Macaca fascicularis: one gene and its partner. The protein of the gene in region 2 purifies or fractionates together with the protein of the main gene of each other region. This does not show direct contact. Links are inferred from orthologs where the notes say so. Each region holds a gene or a part of one and is shown on either strand. Other genes may lie near its edges.

Region 1 (8,072 bases), on a different chromosome or scaffold from region 2:
TGGGATATTCTGGTTAATACTAACCAGGGAACTTATTTTGTTGAAAAGCAACCCATTAGATCATTTTTCCTTCAATTAGGAGTTACAGTTCACAAGAAATATCTGATGATAATCTGTGTTCTACAAACGGGCAAAATTCATAATCAATTTTTTTTTTTTTTTTTGGAGATGGAGTCTTGCTCTGTCGCTCAGGCTGGAGTGCAGTGGCACGATCTTGGCTTACTGCAACCTCTGCCTCCCAGGTTGGAGAGATTCTCCTGCCTCAGCCTCCCGAGTAGCTGGGACTACAGGTTTGTGCCACCACGTCTGGCTAATTTTTGTATTTTTAGTAGAGACGGGGTTCACCATATTGGTCAGGCTGGTCTTGAACTCCTGACTTCATGATCCGTCCACCTCGGCCTCCCAAAGTGCTGGGACTATAGGTATGAGCCACCGCACCCAGCTCATAATCAAATTTTTTTTTTTTATTTTCTGAGACAGGGTCTTGCTCTGTCAACCAGGCTGGAGTGCAATGATGTGATTTCAGCTCACTGTAGCCTCTGCCTCCCAGGTTCAAGTAATTCTTGGCCTCAGCTTCCTGAGTGACCGGGACTACAGGTGCGCATCACCATGCCCGGCTAATTGTTTGTATTTTTAGTAGAGAAGGGGTTTTGCCATGTTGGCCATGCTGGTCATGAACTCCTGACCTCAGGTGATCGACCCATCTCGGCCTCTCAAAGTGCTGGGATTACAGGCATGAGCCACCATGCTCAGCCGCCCGACTACATTTTGGTTTTTTTTTTTTCAGAGTCTTACTCGGTAGCCCAGGCTGGAGTGCAGTGGTGCAATTTTGGCTCACTGCAACCTCTGCCTCCCGGATTCAAGCGATTCTCATGCCTTAGCCTCCCGAGTAGCTGGGACCATAGGCATGTACCACCATGCCTGGCCAATTTTTGTATTTTTTGTTGGACAGGGTTTCGCCATGTTGCCCAGTCTGGTCTTGAACTCCTGAACTCTACCCATCCACCTGCCTCGTCTTCCCAAAGTGCCTGAATTACAGGAGTGAGCCACCGTGCCCGGCCCATAATCAATTTTTATCCTATGGAGGAGTTGGCCTACAGGCCAAAGAAGGCCTTAGAGCTAAAAATGGTTTTACATTTTTAAAAGGGTGCGGAAAAAAACATACAAAAAAGAAAATGTGGCTAGGCGCAGGGGCTCGTACCTGTAATCCCAGCACTTTGGGAGGCTGAGGCAGGTGGATCACCTGAGGTCAGGAGTTTGAGACCAGCCTGGCCAACACAGCAAAACCTCGTCTCTACTACAAATACAAAAATTAGCTGGGCATGGTGGCGTTTGTCTGCAATCCCAGCTACTCAAGAAGCTGAGGCAGGAGAATCGCTTGAACCCGAGAGGCAGAGGTTGCAGTGAGCCGAGACTGCATCACTGCACTCCAGCCTGGGTAACAGAGCAAGCCTCTATCTCAAAAAAAAAAAAAAAGAAAACAGAAAAGAAAACGTGACCACATGAGGCCCACAAAGCCTAAAATATTTACTATCTGGCCCTTTACAGAAAAAGTTTGTCAACCCTTATTCTGCAGCACCAAAAACACTGAGTAGTACACAGACTCCAAAATATTGCCCAGAAGTGCTCCTTTCTCATCAAACTAACTGGAGAAGTTTCCTTTACTTCAGTTCCAAATTACTTAAACAGAATCTCTATTTCTCAAATTTATTTGCCTATATGACTAGCCCTCAAGAAAGTGTTATCTCAAAAAGCTCTATTCCCTTATTTAGACTCAAGTTTCAGCTAAGATGCTAGGGTTGGTTCCCAATAAATGCAAAAGATCGGAAAGCTTACCTGGAGCATTTGCTATAGCCAACGGCAGGCCTTGAATTGGGTGCACCTGGATTCCTGAAGTACCCAATGCACTGAGGTTAATGGTCTGGAGGCCTGGCATGGAGGAGAGTTGAGCAGCATTCACAGTGACTGTGCCAGCAGGAATGGAAGCAGCTGAGGCAATGGGTGTAAGAGTGGTGCTGCTGCTGCTGGTCTGTCCCAAAGAAACACCCTGCATTGGGGCTAAGGTGATTGTCTGGGCTTGTGGGTTCTGAACTTGGAGGTTCTGCAGCTGTAGAGTCTGCCAACTGACCTGTCCGTTGGGCCCCACTGTTGGTGTCCGGATGATGATGGGACCAGAGTTTGGAACAGCCTGAAGCTGGAGGTTCTGGAGGGTTTCTTGGGAGATAGCTTGAGTTGTAAAGGTCTGCCCTGACAATGGTGCTGCTTGGAGGGCCTGGAGGGCCTGTCCCCCTTGAACTAGCTGAGGCTGGATAAGAATTTGTTGCTGCTGTGTCTGCTGGTTTTGCTCTCCTTCTTTTTGCTGACCTGCTTGCAGTGAGCCTCCAGATGTCTGGTTTTGCTGGATGTTCAGAGCATCAGACCCCTGTAGCCCACTGACCCTCTGGGGTGTCTGGCCTTGAGAGTTGGTCCCTGATGATCCACTGGTAGTAAAGTTCATAATTCCCATGTTGCTGGTGGTAGTAGTAGTTGAGTAGCTATTGGCATTGGTAAAAAAGGAGCTGGAACTGGCTTGTGATGACACCAAGCTGGCAGAACTGATGGTAGTCCCTGAGGTGACAGGCTGTGAGCCACTCTCCTGGGACCCAGAGCTGCTGATGGTGACTGCCTGAGAGCTGGGAGTCAAGGTAGCTGCAGAAACGCTGTTGACAGGTAGCAAGGTGATGTTCCCATTCAGGGCCACTGGTACATTGGTCACATACTGAGTCTGTCCTGAGAGTACATTATTAGCCAGGCCTTGGAGGGGGACAGCCTGCTGGAGTAGATTTGGCATAGCAGCAATGATGTTGCCTCCACTTCCTCGATTTGTGATAATCTGTTGGTTTGCACCTGGTATGATCTGTATTTGACCAGAACCATCCTGCTGCACTTGGGCCCCAGTGGCAGCAAACTGCAGCTGTTGCCCATCAACGGTCTGGAACTGTGGGATTACTTGATACTGAATATTAGGCATCACTCCAGGTAGTCCTGTCAGAACTTGCTGGTTCTGTAAGTTGGGAGTGGCAGCCACAACATACTGCCCACCAGAGACTGTGCGATTCTTGGAAGACTCACTGCCATTGCTGCCATTGGTACTGCTGCCACTCTGTTCCTTTGAGGTAGGGGTAGCCCCAGAGGAGGAAGAGATGATCTGCCAGCCATTGGCACCCTGTGAAAGTTGTGTGGCTGTGAGGTCAAGCTCACCTGTTCCCCCTGACTGACTCGGGCCCTGGGAGTTGTTGCTGTTCTCATTGGGTGACTCAATTCTGCTGCAAGTTGCTGCCAGCAGAGCCAAAGGGGATGGCTGGGACTCCTGGCCAAAAATAAGGGAGAGGAAAGGAGTTAGTGACACCCAGCTGCCAGCCTAGGGGGCAGTATACAACAAATAAACAGCAACGTAGTGCAGACAAGGAGCAAAAAACAGAAACAAAAAGCTGACCTATCTGTATTGCTGAAACTCCTGTCTTTGGGGATCTCCATACTCTTACTTCTTATCTATAAAATGGTTTTGATAAGCTCCCTAAAAAGCTTTCTATGAAGAGTAAGGCAATTATCTAAGAATATTTACATCCTCTCAACATCTTCCCCACTCTATTATTATCACTTACCTGCCCTCCTCCTCCTCCACTGCTGCTGCTACTGCCTGTGCTGCTACTTCGAGCCTGTGAAAAGGCACCACCACCATTACCACTGCCCCCATTATTGCCACCAACTCCTTTTTCAATCTTCACCACAGCTGTCATTTCATCCATGGAGTGATCTTGGTCTAAAACAATTAAAAAACAAACAACTTAAACTTGAGGGAAGAAAAGAGATGAAGTAGGAAGGATAAAAGGAGGCTATGATGAAATAGCAATGACTAACAGGAAGGCGAAAGGCGCCAGTATAAAGAAAATGGATTGGAGGGCAGAGGGGAGCTGCAGGGCATGCAGGACATGAACTAGGCTCAATGGTGCCAAAAGTGGGCCTCAATTCTCCCTTACACAAAATTAACTAAGAAAACATTCAAAAAGTGCTTTGGGGATAGGAAATGTGAAGGATGGTAGTCATGCTGAAAGAGTTTCAAAATAAGAAAAAGTATCCTAAGGGAAAAAAGGACAAGTAAGGCAAAAAACAATATGTGGGCGGATGGAAAGCTTGCTAAAATTAAGGTTAAAAGAGATGGAGAGGCCAGGCGCGGTGGTCATGCCTGTAATCCCAGTACTTTGAGACGCTGAGGCAGGAGGATCACCTGGGGTCAGGAGTTTGAGACCAGCCTGACCAACAAGGAGAAACCCCGTCCCCACTAAAAATACAAAATTAGCCGTGTGTGGTGGCGCATGCCTGTAATCCCAGCTACTCCCGGAGGCTGAGGCAGGAGAATCGCTTGAATCCGGGAGGTAGCAGTGAGCCGAGATCGCACCATTGCACTCCAGCCTGGGCGACAAGAGCGAAACTCCCTCTCAAAAAAAAAGAGAGAGATAAACAAAAACCCAAGTATTAAAAGTAACAAGAGGAGAAGGGAAAAAGAAATAAAAAGTTTTAGTAGGAAAACATTTGTGAATACTACTAAGGAACTAAAGGGGTGTACTGGTTAGTAGTCAGGAGGTTTCGGGGCGGAGGGCGGGCCCTGAGGGAAAGGGCGGTTTCGGGGTGAGGGGCGTGGAAAGGGCGGGACGGTGGGGCGGGGGGAAGGGAAATCTACGGAAAGTGGGGGGAGGAGGGCGCCGGAGCAGGCGGCGACCAGAGGACGGACCAGACAAGCGGTTGGCCCGGGCGGGGCCTTCACTGCTCGGGCCGCCCCCGCGGCTCCAGCCCCCGGCGGGAGGAGCCTCAGGCGGGCGGCCGAGTAGTGGGGGGTAAGGCCCGTCCCCCGTGGCCGGGGCGGGCAGGGGGCGGGCGAGGCCACGCTGCCCCCTCCCCCGGGGCGGGCGGCCCATCCCCCTCCTCCTCGGAGGCCCAGCCACTGCCCCGTCTCCCTCCCTTCCCTCCGCCCCGGGCGGGACCTAGGCCGCCGCCGCCGCCTCCCGCCCGCCCCCCCTCACGGCGGGGATCGCCCGGTCGGCCCTCGCGCGCGCCCCCTCACTCGCCTCCCACCCCTAAGCCTGGAGTGGACTCATCCTTACCGCTCATGGTGGCAGCTGAGGGACAAGCTCAAGGGGGTCCTGTCCGGGGGGGTTGGGGGGGGCCGGGAAAAACGCGGACGCTGACGAGGCAAGCGAACCCGGACCGGACAGGGAGGGGGGGGTGAGGAGGAGGGAGCAGCGCGCCACCAGCCCAACCTATGCCCCGCCCCTTCTCTGCTGCCCCGCCCAATGAGGGAGGGGGAAAGGTGGGACTTGCAGAAGAAAGACGGTGAGGTTTTCCAATGGCAAGACTCGCTTGCTCTCTAAGGCGTGTAAGACTAAGTTGCGTGCCTGGTGTCCGCCCAAAAAGACAGCCCTCTCAGTGTTAAAAGCCAATGAAGGATGCAGGAAGTGAAGATGGGCGGGAGCTGGGGATTATTGGCTTGGAAGGAAACCAGTCAACCGGCAGGCGGGCTCCCTGAGACATTGGGATAGGGAAAGCTTTGATAGGAATGACAGAACAACGGCCAACTAGAATCCGGGATATGCTTGGGCAAAATCCTAGTGGGAGGAGAGGTAAGAAGTAGACAGGAATAGGATAGGCTGAAGCTGATTAAAACCAATCAGAAATCAGGCGGGCAGCCAGGAAAGTTATGATTGGATTAAGACTGAAAAAAGACAGGAAAGGACGCATATTGACGTGAATTAAAAGCCAATTAAACGCCAGATTAACTCTGAGGGCGGAAACTTGGAGTGGCAGAGGAGAATTGGCGGCTCCCTCAGTTATTCAATCCAATGAGGGAACGAAGTAAGCCTGGCACCGCCTCCTAGTTGGCCAATGGGCGTTACCGGAGCCGCCCATCATGAGGGAGGGAAGAGGGCTGTGCCAAGAGGAGACCGTCGCCATATTGGCCCACCTCAGGGGACGTTGTTACAGTCATTAGGTGGGACGCTTTAGTGGAGTCTTGCAGCTCAACAGGTGTCAGAGCCAAGGCATTCGGCGCGCAGTTCCGCATCAACACTAGGATTTGTTTGAGTCTTCATTTAACTGCCCCTATAAAGTACCTCTCAAATCTTACCCGTTTCCCGGGTGGGCGGACAGGCGGGCAGATACCTCAATGTCGCTGCAAGCCCTGCGAGTGCAGCCGGAACGGGATTTGGGGACAGCGCTCACCAAATAAGTTAATACTGAGCTGACCAATATGCAGAGTCTCCGTAAGATTCCAGAAAACGCCATTTTGTTAAGTTCCGCCAGACAAAGGCGCTAACCACTTACGACTGGTTAACTTTTCAAGCTTTGAGGCTAAAGTGCGGATAAGTCACTTCCATTTTTCGGAGTTAATAGTAAATACCGCCTATGCATAAAGCAAGATAGTTGAGCTCCTGCTTTTTGCAATCACGAAGGTTAAACTTTACTGCAGGCACCTGGATTTCTGGCCTCCTCTTTATCCGTGTTTTGGTGGAGCCGGCCTTGATAGCTTGTCAATGACACGATAAGGTCATGTCCTTCAGTATTTGTATCTTAAATGTTGTCGCTTGCTTGTATGTTCTTATGTTTTAAAATCTGAATTCTCCTATACTATTTTAAGCCCTTTGGAGTTAAGAACTGAGGCCTTGGCCGGGCGTGGTGGCTCAAGCCTGTAATCCCAGCACTTTGGGAGGCCGAGACGGGCGGATCACGAGGTCAGGAGTTCGAGACCATCCTGGCTAACACGGTGAAACCCCGTCTCTACTAAAAAATACAAAAAAAAACTAGCCGGGCGAGGTGGCGGGCGCCTGTAGTCCCGGCTACTCGGGAGGCTGAGGCAGGAGAATGGCGTAAAAACCCGGGAGGCAGAGCTTGCTGAGATCCGTCCACTGCACTCCAGCCTGGGCGACACAGCGAGACTCCGTCTCAAAAAAAAAAAAAAAAAAAAAAGAACTGAGGCCTCTGATGCTTTAGACAGGTAAAAAGGTGAAGTAATTGCTGACTGCCTACAGTGTTAGGTGCCTAAGTCAGGGAGGCAGTTGGTATTTCGTGTCATCCTTATCAGGAAGATGTTATTAAGTATTAGCTATATTATGTATTTTATAAGTGAAGACATTCAGGCTGAGAAGTGACTTACCCAAGGTCACAAAGCAAATGAGTCGTAAGTGTTAGATTCCAACCCAGAATAGTTCCACAAAAAGTTTTCTGTAGATTCTTCAGTGAATTAATGCTGCCAGGCGCAGTAGCTCAGGCCTGTAATCCCAGCACTATGAGAGGCCGAGGCGAGCGGGTTGCTTGAGCCCGGGGGTTCAAGACCAGTCATGGGCAACATGGTGAAACCCCGTCTCCACAAAAAAATAACAAAAATTAGCTAGACATGGTCATGTACGCCAGTAGTCCCAGCTACTCAGGAGCCTGGGGTGGAAGGATCGCTTGAGCCCAGGAGGTTGAGGCTGCAGTGAGCCCAAATCCTGCCACTGCGCTCCAGGCAGGAAAACAGAGAGAGACCTTGTCCCCAAAGTAAGTAAATATATAAATGCTTTTTAATTTTTACTGTCTAGCTCCTGAAAAAAAAAAAAAAAATCCTACCCCTACTTCCAGGTCAGCTCAAATGGCGTCATCCTCTTATATACCTTTGTTATGAAATTTATCAGAAAGGGCCGGGCGTAGTGGCTCAAGCCTGTAATCCCAGCACTTTGGGAGGCCGAGATGGGCGGATCATGAGGTCAGGAGATAGAGACCATCCGGGCTAACACAGTGAAACCCCGTCTCTACTAAAAAATACGAAAAACTAGCCGGGCGAGGTGGCCGGCGCCTGTAGTCCCAGCTACTCGGGAGGCTGAGGCAGGAGAATGGCGTGAACCTGGGAGGCGGAGCTTGCAGTGAGCCGAGATCGCGCCACTGCACTCCAGCCTGGGCGACAGAGCAAGACTCCGTCTCAAAAAAAAAAAAAAAATTATCAGATTATATGACAAATAATTGCATCTCTCACTATATCAAGATTTCTCAAAACGAAATGTCAC
Region 2 (7,252 bases):
AGTGAGACGAAGGGGCTGAGGTAGGTGAGTGGTTCTCAGGGTTGCACGATGGAGATTTGAGGAGGAACCCAGGGTGATTAATGCAGCAGGAATCTGTTCCAACAACCCCCTTCCCCCAAAAAACAACCAGACTCAAGATGCTGATAAGAATTCTTTTATGTTATTCCAATAAAAAATACATTCATACAGAAATATAACAATCTTGCAAAAAACAATTTCAAATAAAATCTTGTAAAACAAAATTTTACAAAAATCTTACAAAGATTCTTTAGATAACAGGGTGCTTCCAAAAAAAAAAAAAAAAAAGAAATTTCACTAATAGAAATTTTTTTTTTTTTAATTTCAAGCAAAAAGTTTCTGCTTGATTGAGGCTCAGTTATCACCTGAACAGAATGTACTTCTTTATGTACGTGCTAATTATGAAAATCACAGGCATTGACAGGTACGGTACCCAGCCCCACCCAGGCAAACGGCTCCGACGTGTTTCATAAGTGAGACAAGCCAGTGCAAGTTTTTTTTTTTTGTCTTTTGTTTACCTTCTTGCTTAATGGAATTGTTATGGCTAAGCACACAGAAGGCCAAAAAAGGAGTTTTCCAAACCCAGCAAATCAAGTGCTTGGATTCCGAACTGCTGAAAGAAAACTGCACTTCCCCTCTAAGCAAAATGAAATGAGTTCCTTAGGTAAATGTATTCATCAGCTCAGATTTAAAAAAACAAAAAACAAAAAAAACCAGTTATGTGAGCGTTAGTCATTGCTCATTTCCAGGAAGATCAAACAAAATACCAGCCCAGCCAGACTCACATGTGTGTATATATATATAAAGCAAAGAGTCACACCCACAAGCCTGCAGCTGGGTGAAATATCAGCTGTCCACGCTGTGGTATGCCAATTCGGGGAAATTACCCCTCGGAAAAACTGGAAGAATCTACATGCTGGAAAAAATAGCTTCCTCTGCATAAAAAGTGTTCTACAAAAGAATCCCTGTGGTTAGCTCACTCTTAGGTTAGATCATCTAGTAAGGCTGAAATTCAAAATCAAAACCTTAGTGTGTCCGAGTCCAGCCTGGGTTCCAGCATTCTGTTCAGGCCCCTTCTGAACGGCCAAAGGTGCCCCATTCCAGACCTGCCCATTTGATGGACAGAGCGGACAGCCCGGAACAGATTCAAGCAAGAAAGTCCTCCGTACATTGTTAAATTAAAGATAAAGCCTCTATAAAAGTTAGGTTATAGTTTTCATTTTTACCTCCTTTATGGCCATTTTGAAATACTTCTTCACAGGCTGTGGAATTTTCTAGCTAAACATTCTAGTTTCTCCTTAAAAAAAATATTTATATATTATCTATATATATAATATATATATATACACACACATACACATACTATACACACAAATATACATACACAAGAATTCTGCCCACTTTTAAAAAAAGTAGTATACTTTCTGTATTACCAACAGATAGCTAGACAGATATGTGAAACTTGTGCCTTTTAAGCAAATACATTAACATTGGGTTTATTTTTTTATACTTCTGTATCTTTAATATGTGTGAAAATGTTACATATTAAACACAGCCGGTGTGTGATCTATACAATTGTTGTGCAAGGTCTATATGAAAGTCTCAAGGTGGCAGAATTGGTCAGATTTTTCCATTTTCATGTTTTCCATTTGAACACTGACAGTCAAGTTGTCTAAAGTATTGAACAAATACTGACATGTAAAGGGAGTTTCACTCTATGTTTTTGTGAAGGAGGACCTTAAAGAGATTTTTTTTTTCTGTGTTATATGTTGATACAGTACACTGCCAGGTGAAAAAAGAGCCTTAATTAAGCATGCATCGCCCACACCCCTGTATGAGACCCCCACATAAGGGATCGCTTGCGTAAGGCACCATTATGAAGGTCAACAGTGCATTAACAGCTAGAAAACCAGAAATTAGTCCTCAAGGCATAAATAAGAGAAACATAGCTGCATGAGAAAACAGTTTCTAAGCGTTAGTGGTTTTATCCACCCAACTGAGAAAAATTTTAGGTTCTTAGCCTAATGAAACATTAGACCAATTCCCGGCCCCAGCTTTGTGACACTTAATACGTGTCCAATTTCTTCAAAGGGCATCACACAATTCTCCAAAAAGTTACTTCAAATTCAGAAGCATTTAAAAATAATCCTGTGTTGCACAATGCCTTTCTGGAAGGGGAGTGTTACAAACTCGGAGGGGAAAAAAATTGTAGATTGCCAGGCCCGGATGGCTAGGGGTCACTGTATTAGACAGACTGGATCTTAGCTGCTCATTAACTGGAATCAGTATTGCAGTCCTGACTTAAAAATGGAAAAGCATATAGTTCCCCAGACCATGCATGACTTTTTGTATTCTAAGGAAAAGTTAAATGGTTGTGTTATATTTGTAAATACACAGCTTATACAATGGGTTACAAATGAGCTATGTTGTAGCGTGTAGAACAAGCTACTTGACACATTGCACATTTAATAGCTGCACCAGACACTAAGAGCTCCTCTCACGCAGAAAACGGGGAGAGAGGCTCTCCCTCCCCACACCACTCGCCACTCTGGGGTCCTGAGTTCCCACGCCCACCCTCCAAGATTTTCCTTTTTTTGTTTTTGTTTTTTTGTTTTTTTGATTTTTGTTTTTTTCTAAGGTGCAGACACCCCCTCCCCCCACCCCCGGAAATGATTGGTGGTCATCTCATCTCATGGTATACTCCTTACACACAAAACATTCAAACTACTTTTTTTCCATCTCTTGCAGTCTTGCTAACCACAAGGAAAAAAAGTTGGCCTCATCATACAGTCAGTAATAGATCCTCAACATACAATCAACCCAACCATTAACATTCTCAGTGCGCATGCTCACGGCAAAGGCTTAGGCGCCACTTGGAAGGTCGGGTACCAGTGGCGAGTCCAGGATCACCCACATACCATGCACCACGGGTGCTATGCCGCTTCTTACAGGACTGTTTTAGCCCTCAAAAGACCTTCCAAGGAGAGGCCCTGGAGGCAACTGGGTAGGGTGCAGAACGGCATGCTTTGGCTGGAACACGCATCCCTCCTTCCACGGCCGGCTCTCAGCCTGGAAGCCTTTTAGCCTACAGGATCCACCTCTCTGCTCCCTCAGAGGTGCCTCTTCATGTGCAGGGCCAGGTGGTCAGACCTGGAAAAACACCTGCAAGGGCAAATCAGAAGCACAGAAGTTAGGTTTCCAACCCTCGCCAGTGTTCCGGACCAGCGCCCTCACCTCCCTGCCCTGCCCAGCCTAACCCCCTGCAGGGAAAGATGTGACTCTCCTCCCAAGCCTCATCAGTGTCTTCAGGGACAGGAGACACCAACTGATAGGAATGTGAATTAAGAATGTCTCCCTGCCCAGCCTAACCCCCTGCAGGGAAAGATGTGACTCTCCTCCCAAGCCTCATCAGTGTCTTCAGGGACAGGAGACACCAACTGATAGGAATGTGAATTAAGAATGTCTCCCATCAGTGGCCGGAGGTTCTCTGGAGAATCTGAACGGACTTCATTTCTAATTCTTCAAATACGAAAACTGTTGAAAGGCCAATTTCCAAACACTATCAATAAACAGACTCCAGTGTCAGGTGTACCTGGAACAGCTCTTCCTAACCACGGCCAACGAGCACACCAGAAACTTTCTAAAAAGTCCCAGGCTTGAAAAGAAACGTTCACACATGGGAAACCGTGTGCCTTCCTTCCCACGTGCCCTGCACGCCTACATAACCCTGGTCATCACATTCCCAAGGCCCCACGCTCCCTGCCCAGCGCCGTCCTCAGGCACGTACCTGTCACAGTGGGAGCATTTAAAAGGCTTGGCCCCGGTGTGCTTTCGGAAGTGCCTGGTTAACTCATCACTTCTTGCAAAACGCCACTCACACCCTTCCCACGAGCATCTGTAAGGCTTTTCTCCTGCGGAGAGAGCACAGGACAAGCGGCCCGTGACTTCACTGACCCGCAGACAGAAGGGGGAAATTCAACCCCACACGCAGTGACGGGATGCGAGGTCAGGGACCCAGTGGCTTCTGGCATTGGTAACACACTTCAAGGAAGGACTACAACTGGCAGCCTCGGAGAGACAACAGCAGCTCTGTCCTGACCCAGTCTCAGGCCTCCCACTGCTGTCCAAGGGACACGGCTTCGGCAAGGCCTGTGGTGCTGTAATCAAAGTTAACGTGAAGAATGACCACAACTCAGACCAGCAAAATGCTTGCGGGACAAGGTGTCAGCCTGCCGGACCCACGGCCCCCGCAAAGGCAGAGCTATTGCTTTCTCTATGGTAACTGTTTCTCCCAAACACACTTCTGTTTCGTACTCACTTCCCTATGGAATGAGTCTCTGCAGTTTCCTCAGGGACAGTCACCTTTCTACAAAGCTGCAGTGAGGAGCTTCTGGAAAGCCCCAGCGCAACGCCCTGGAATCATTCTCTAAATGGCAATCCAACAACCGGGTTCACTTCATTCCTTGGTCAAATCATAAATATGAATTTACTACAAGTGCTACCTGAGAAAACAAAGTTGCCAAGCCAATCCTAGGGTATGCTGAGACAGGCCTGGGCCTGGATTTCAGGCCACTTGGATCTCAATCTCAGCTGTCACCAAGCCTGTCTGGGACTGACTCGCAGCAATTTGCTCTCCTACTGATAAGAGAAGAGTCTGCATCACGTGATCGTTAAGACCTTTCCCAGCTCTAAATTTTCTGATTCCTCACCAATTATCCTAGAAATATGTCAAGGTATTTTCAAAATAGTACTTTCACCTAAGGTACGGCATTTCATTAAGAAATTGTTTCAAGCGGTATCAGAAACAAAGGCTGCATGAGACACACAGAGGTTCTCAGGAAACACCCGCTGATCAATGCTGCTGCTAACAGAGCAGGCCGGTCCCACCTGGGCCTCGGGTCATCAGCATCAAACCCACACACTCCATGCTGCCCAGCAACCCTCTGTCCTGACCCGAGTTCCATTTAGGAAACCCAAGGGCAACTCGAGGTAGCCTCGCGCGTGTGCACCGGTGAAGGGGCAGTGGCCTCGGAACCCGGGCACTGCTACGGGGGGTGGAGGTTTGGGTGTCCATGGAGAAAAGGATCTAGTCTCTTGTTTGTTTAATCTGAAAACTGTTACGCATTTATCCAACTCAAAAGTCCAGTCTTTAGGATTCTACTCTGAGCTCCACAAAGACCCAATGCTTTGGTGGAAAACATCTGAGGAAGTGAGGATTTGTCTGCTCTGACCACATCCCGTGGAGCCAGCCCTGGCTCCCTCCAGGGCTGGTGCAGTGCAGTGGCGCCCACCAGCGGCCGCCCTCCGGGGCCCGCGTGGGCACTGACCTGTGTGCGTCCGCTGATGTGCTTTCAAGTGGGAGCTTTTGGTGTAAACTTTCCTGCAGCCGTTGAAGTGGCACCGGTGCACCCTCCTCCTGCCGTCGGGGGAAGCATCGCCACTTCCCTTGTCACCTGGCTTCCCCGAAGTCCCGCTGCGCACCTTCCCTGGCGAGGGCAGCTCCCCAGGCACACAACCCCACAGTTGAGAAGGTTCCCTGCTCAGTTCCGGAGAAGATGGAGGAGTGGAGGTGACAGAGGAGCTCAATTTTCCCGAGCTGACCAAAACTTCGCCAATGGGGTCAGAGGTAAACTTGGCCGTGGGAGAAAGTTCCTCGGAGCTGTCAGAGGATTCGCTGCTGACATCTGAGTTCAGGCTGTTGGTCTCTAAGTTGTAACAAAAGCTCGGGCTGATGAGAGTGTCCTCTGGAGGACTGGAAGATATCTTCAGTTCGGATTCCTCCTTTTTCTCCCGAGCCAGAATGATTTTGGTCCACAGATCTTCCTGGCTGTCAAATTTGATTTCTGAGGCTGAAACATAGCAGGGCTCACTCTGGAGGTAACGTTCCAGCTCCAGGCAGGTCTGTGCAAAATGAACCAGAGAAGGCACGTGATTGCTATGGCAACCAAAAGTAAAAGCAAAAGCAATTTCCAAAAACATGCAAGAATGAAGGACAGATACATTGCTGCCCGATCACTACAGGGGCAAAACCTTTCATAATTAAGCATCCATGTCCTTACGGAAGTTAGAGGAAATCTGTTTCTAGAATGGTAAGAATTCAGAGGAAAAGTCAGAGGGCGAAACCTCTCCTGGCTTTCCCAATGTTGGGTCAACGGCCACAATGAGTGATGATTACTAAGCCGGTTTTTTTTTGTTGTAGTTACCAGTGTTGATGTTTCTCATGAAACCACAGGAAGAGAACCGGCCCCACACACATACCCCCCCAACAGGTTCAACCAGATTATCTGACATTGTCAAGAACCATGTGTTTTAAGGAAAGCCCCAGCCATTCACCCTTCACACCCCACAGATACCCACACAACAGGACAAAAAAGACTGCACGGCACACAGCGTGTTCTGAGGGACCCCCTTGGGGACACGTCTGACAACGCAGGGCCACACTCGGGGGAGAGGAGACAGCAGCTGTCTGTATTCAGGGGCATCGAATGGAGCTGCAGAAAAACCACCCATTTCCCGTGCAACCCAGACCGCCTATGTTTTCACAGAATGCCGTTCCCAAGTGCAGGCCCTTGCATGACACAGAACTTTAATTACTTCTACAGTGGTCAGAGAAAAACAAGGAACTTCAACAACAGGAGTGCAGAAATAATTCCAGCATGGCCATCTGCTATTGTGAAGGATGCAAGGGGAAATTACTCCACGGCCCTGCTGGGAGTCCCACAATGAACAAGAACTTTATCTACTGGCCAAGAGTACAACTGCATGAGTCATCACTCTGATTTCTTTCACGCAATGCCAAAGGAGACTTCCTTTTGAAATTCTGATCAGCAGCCCAATAAGGACCCAGTTCAAATGGACATGCAGTGTGGCATGGACAGCGCCCCTTCCCCAGCCCCGCAACCAACCTTTCAAGAAGCTACAACTGCCGAGATCAGCATCCCCTCTCCCCACCATTTCAAACTTTCTAGCCACTGGAAAAGAAAAATGGTAGGAAACATTTTAGGATTAAATTATGTCTGCCCTGATTTTCACGAGGATCAGTTGCCTGCATGTCCATATAAGGTTGTCTATACTACTGGCAATTCTACAAATTTCAGTTTCTACACCACTCTGCTCTGGTGAGCACATCATTTTTCCGGGCAGGGACTATACTGAGCACAGCCCACCCCGGGGGCTCAGGCTGACTTAGCTGTGTGCCTCTCTCCTGCCACAGGCAATCCCTCCCCCTCCCCAG

Evidence for each region.
Region 1: the proteins of KLF6 (region 2) and SP1 purify together in Homo sapiens (affinity purification with western blotting, with the first as the bait; 3 studies listed by BioGRID). This does not show direct contact. The link is inferred for Macaca fascicularis from reciprocal best matches to the Homo sapiens genes KLF6 and SP1.

Annotation. Positions count from the first base shown.
Region 1 is NC_088385.1:60,179,449-60,187,520, reverse strand, and holds the start of SP1 (transcription factor Sp1), read right to left. Parts: upstream 5,251-8,072; 5' UTR 5,149-5,250; coding exon 5,142-5,148; intron 4,891-5,141; exon of another isoform or gene 4,772-4,890; intron 4,638-4,771; exon of another isoform or gene 4,607-4,637; intron 3,803-4,606; coding exon 3,645-3,802; intron 3,350-3,644; coding exon 1,837-3,349; intron 1-1,836. UniProt on the Homo sapiens protein: Transcription factor that can activate or repress transcription in response to physiological and pathological stimuli.
Region 2 is NC_088383.1:4,681,418-4,688,669, forward strand, and holds the end of KLF6 (Krueppel-like factor 6), read right to left. Parts: intron 5,920-7,252; coding exon 5,346-5,919; intron 3,930-5,345; coding exon 3,806-3,929; intron 3,181-3,805; coding exon 3,129-3,180; 3' UTR 139-3,128; downstream 1-138.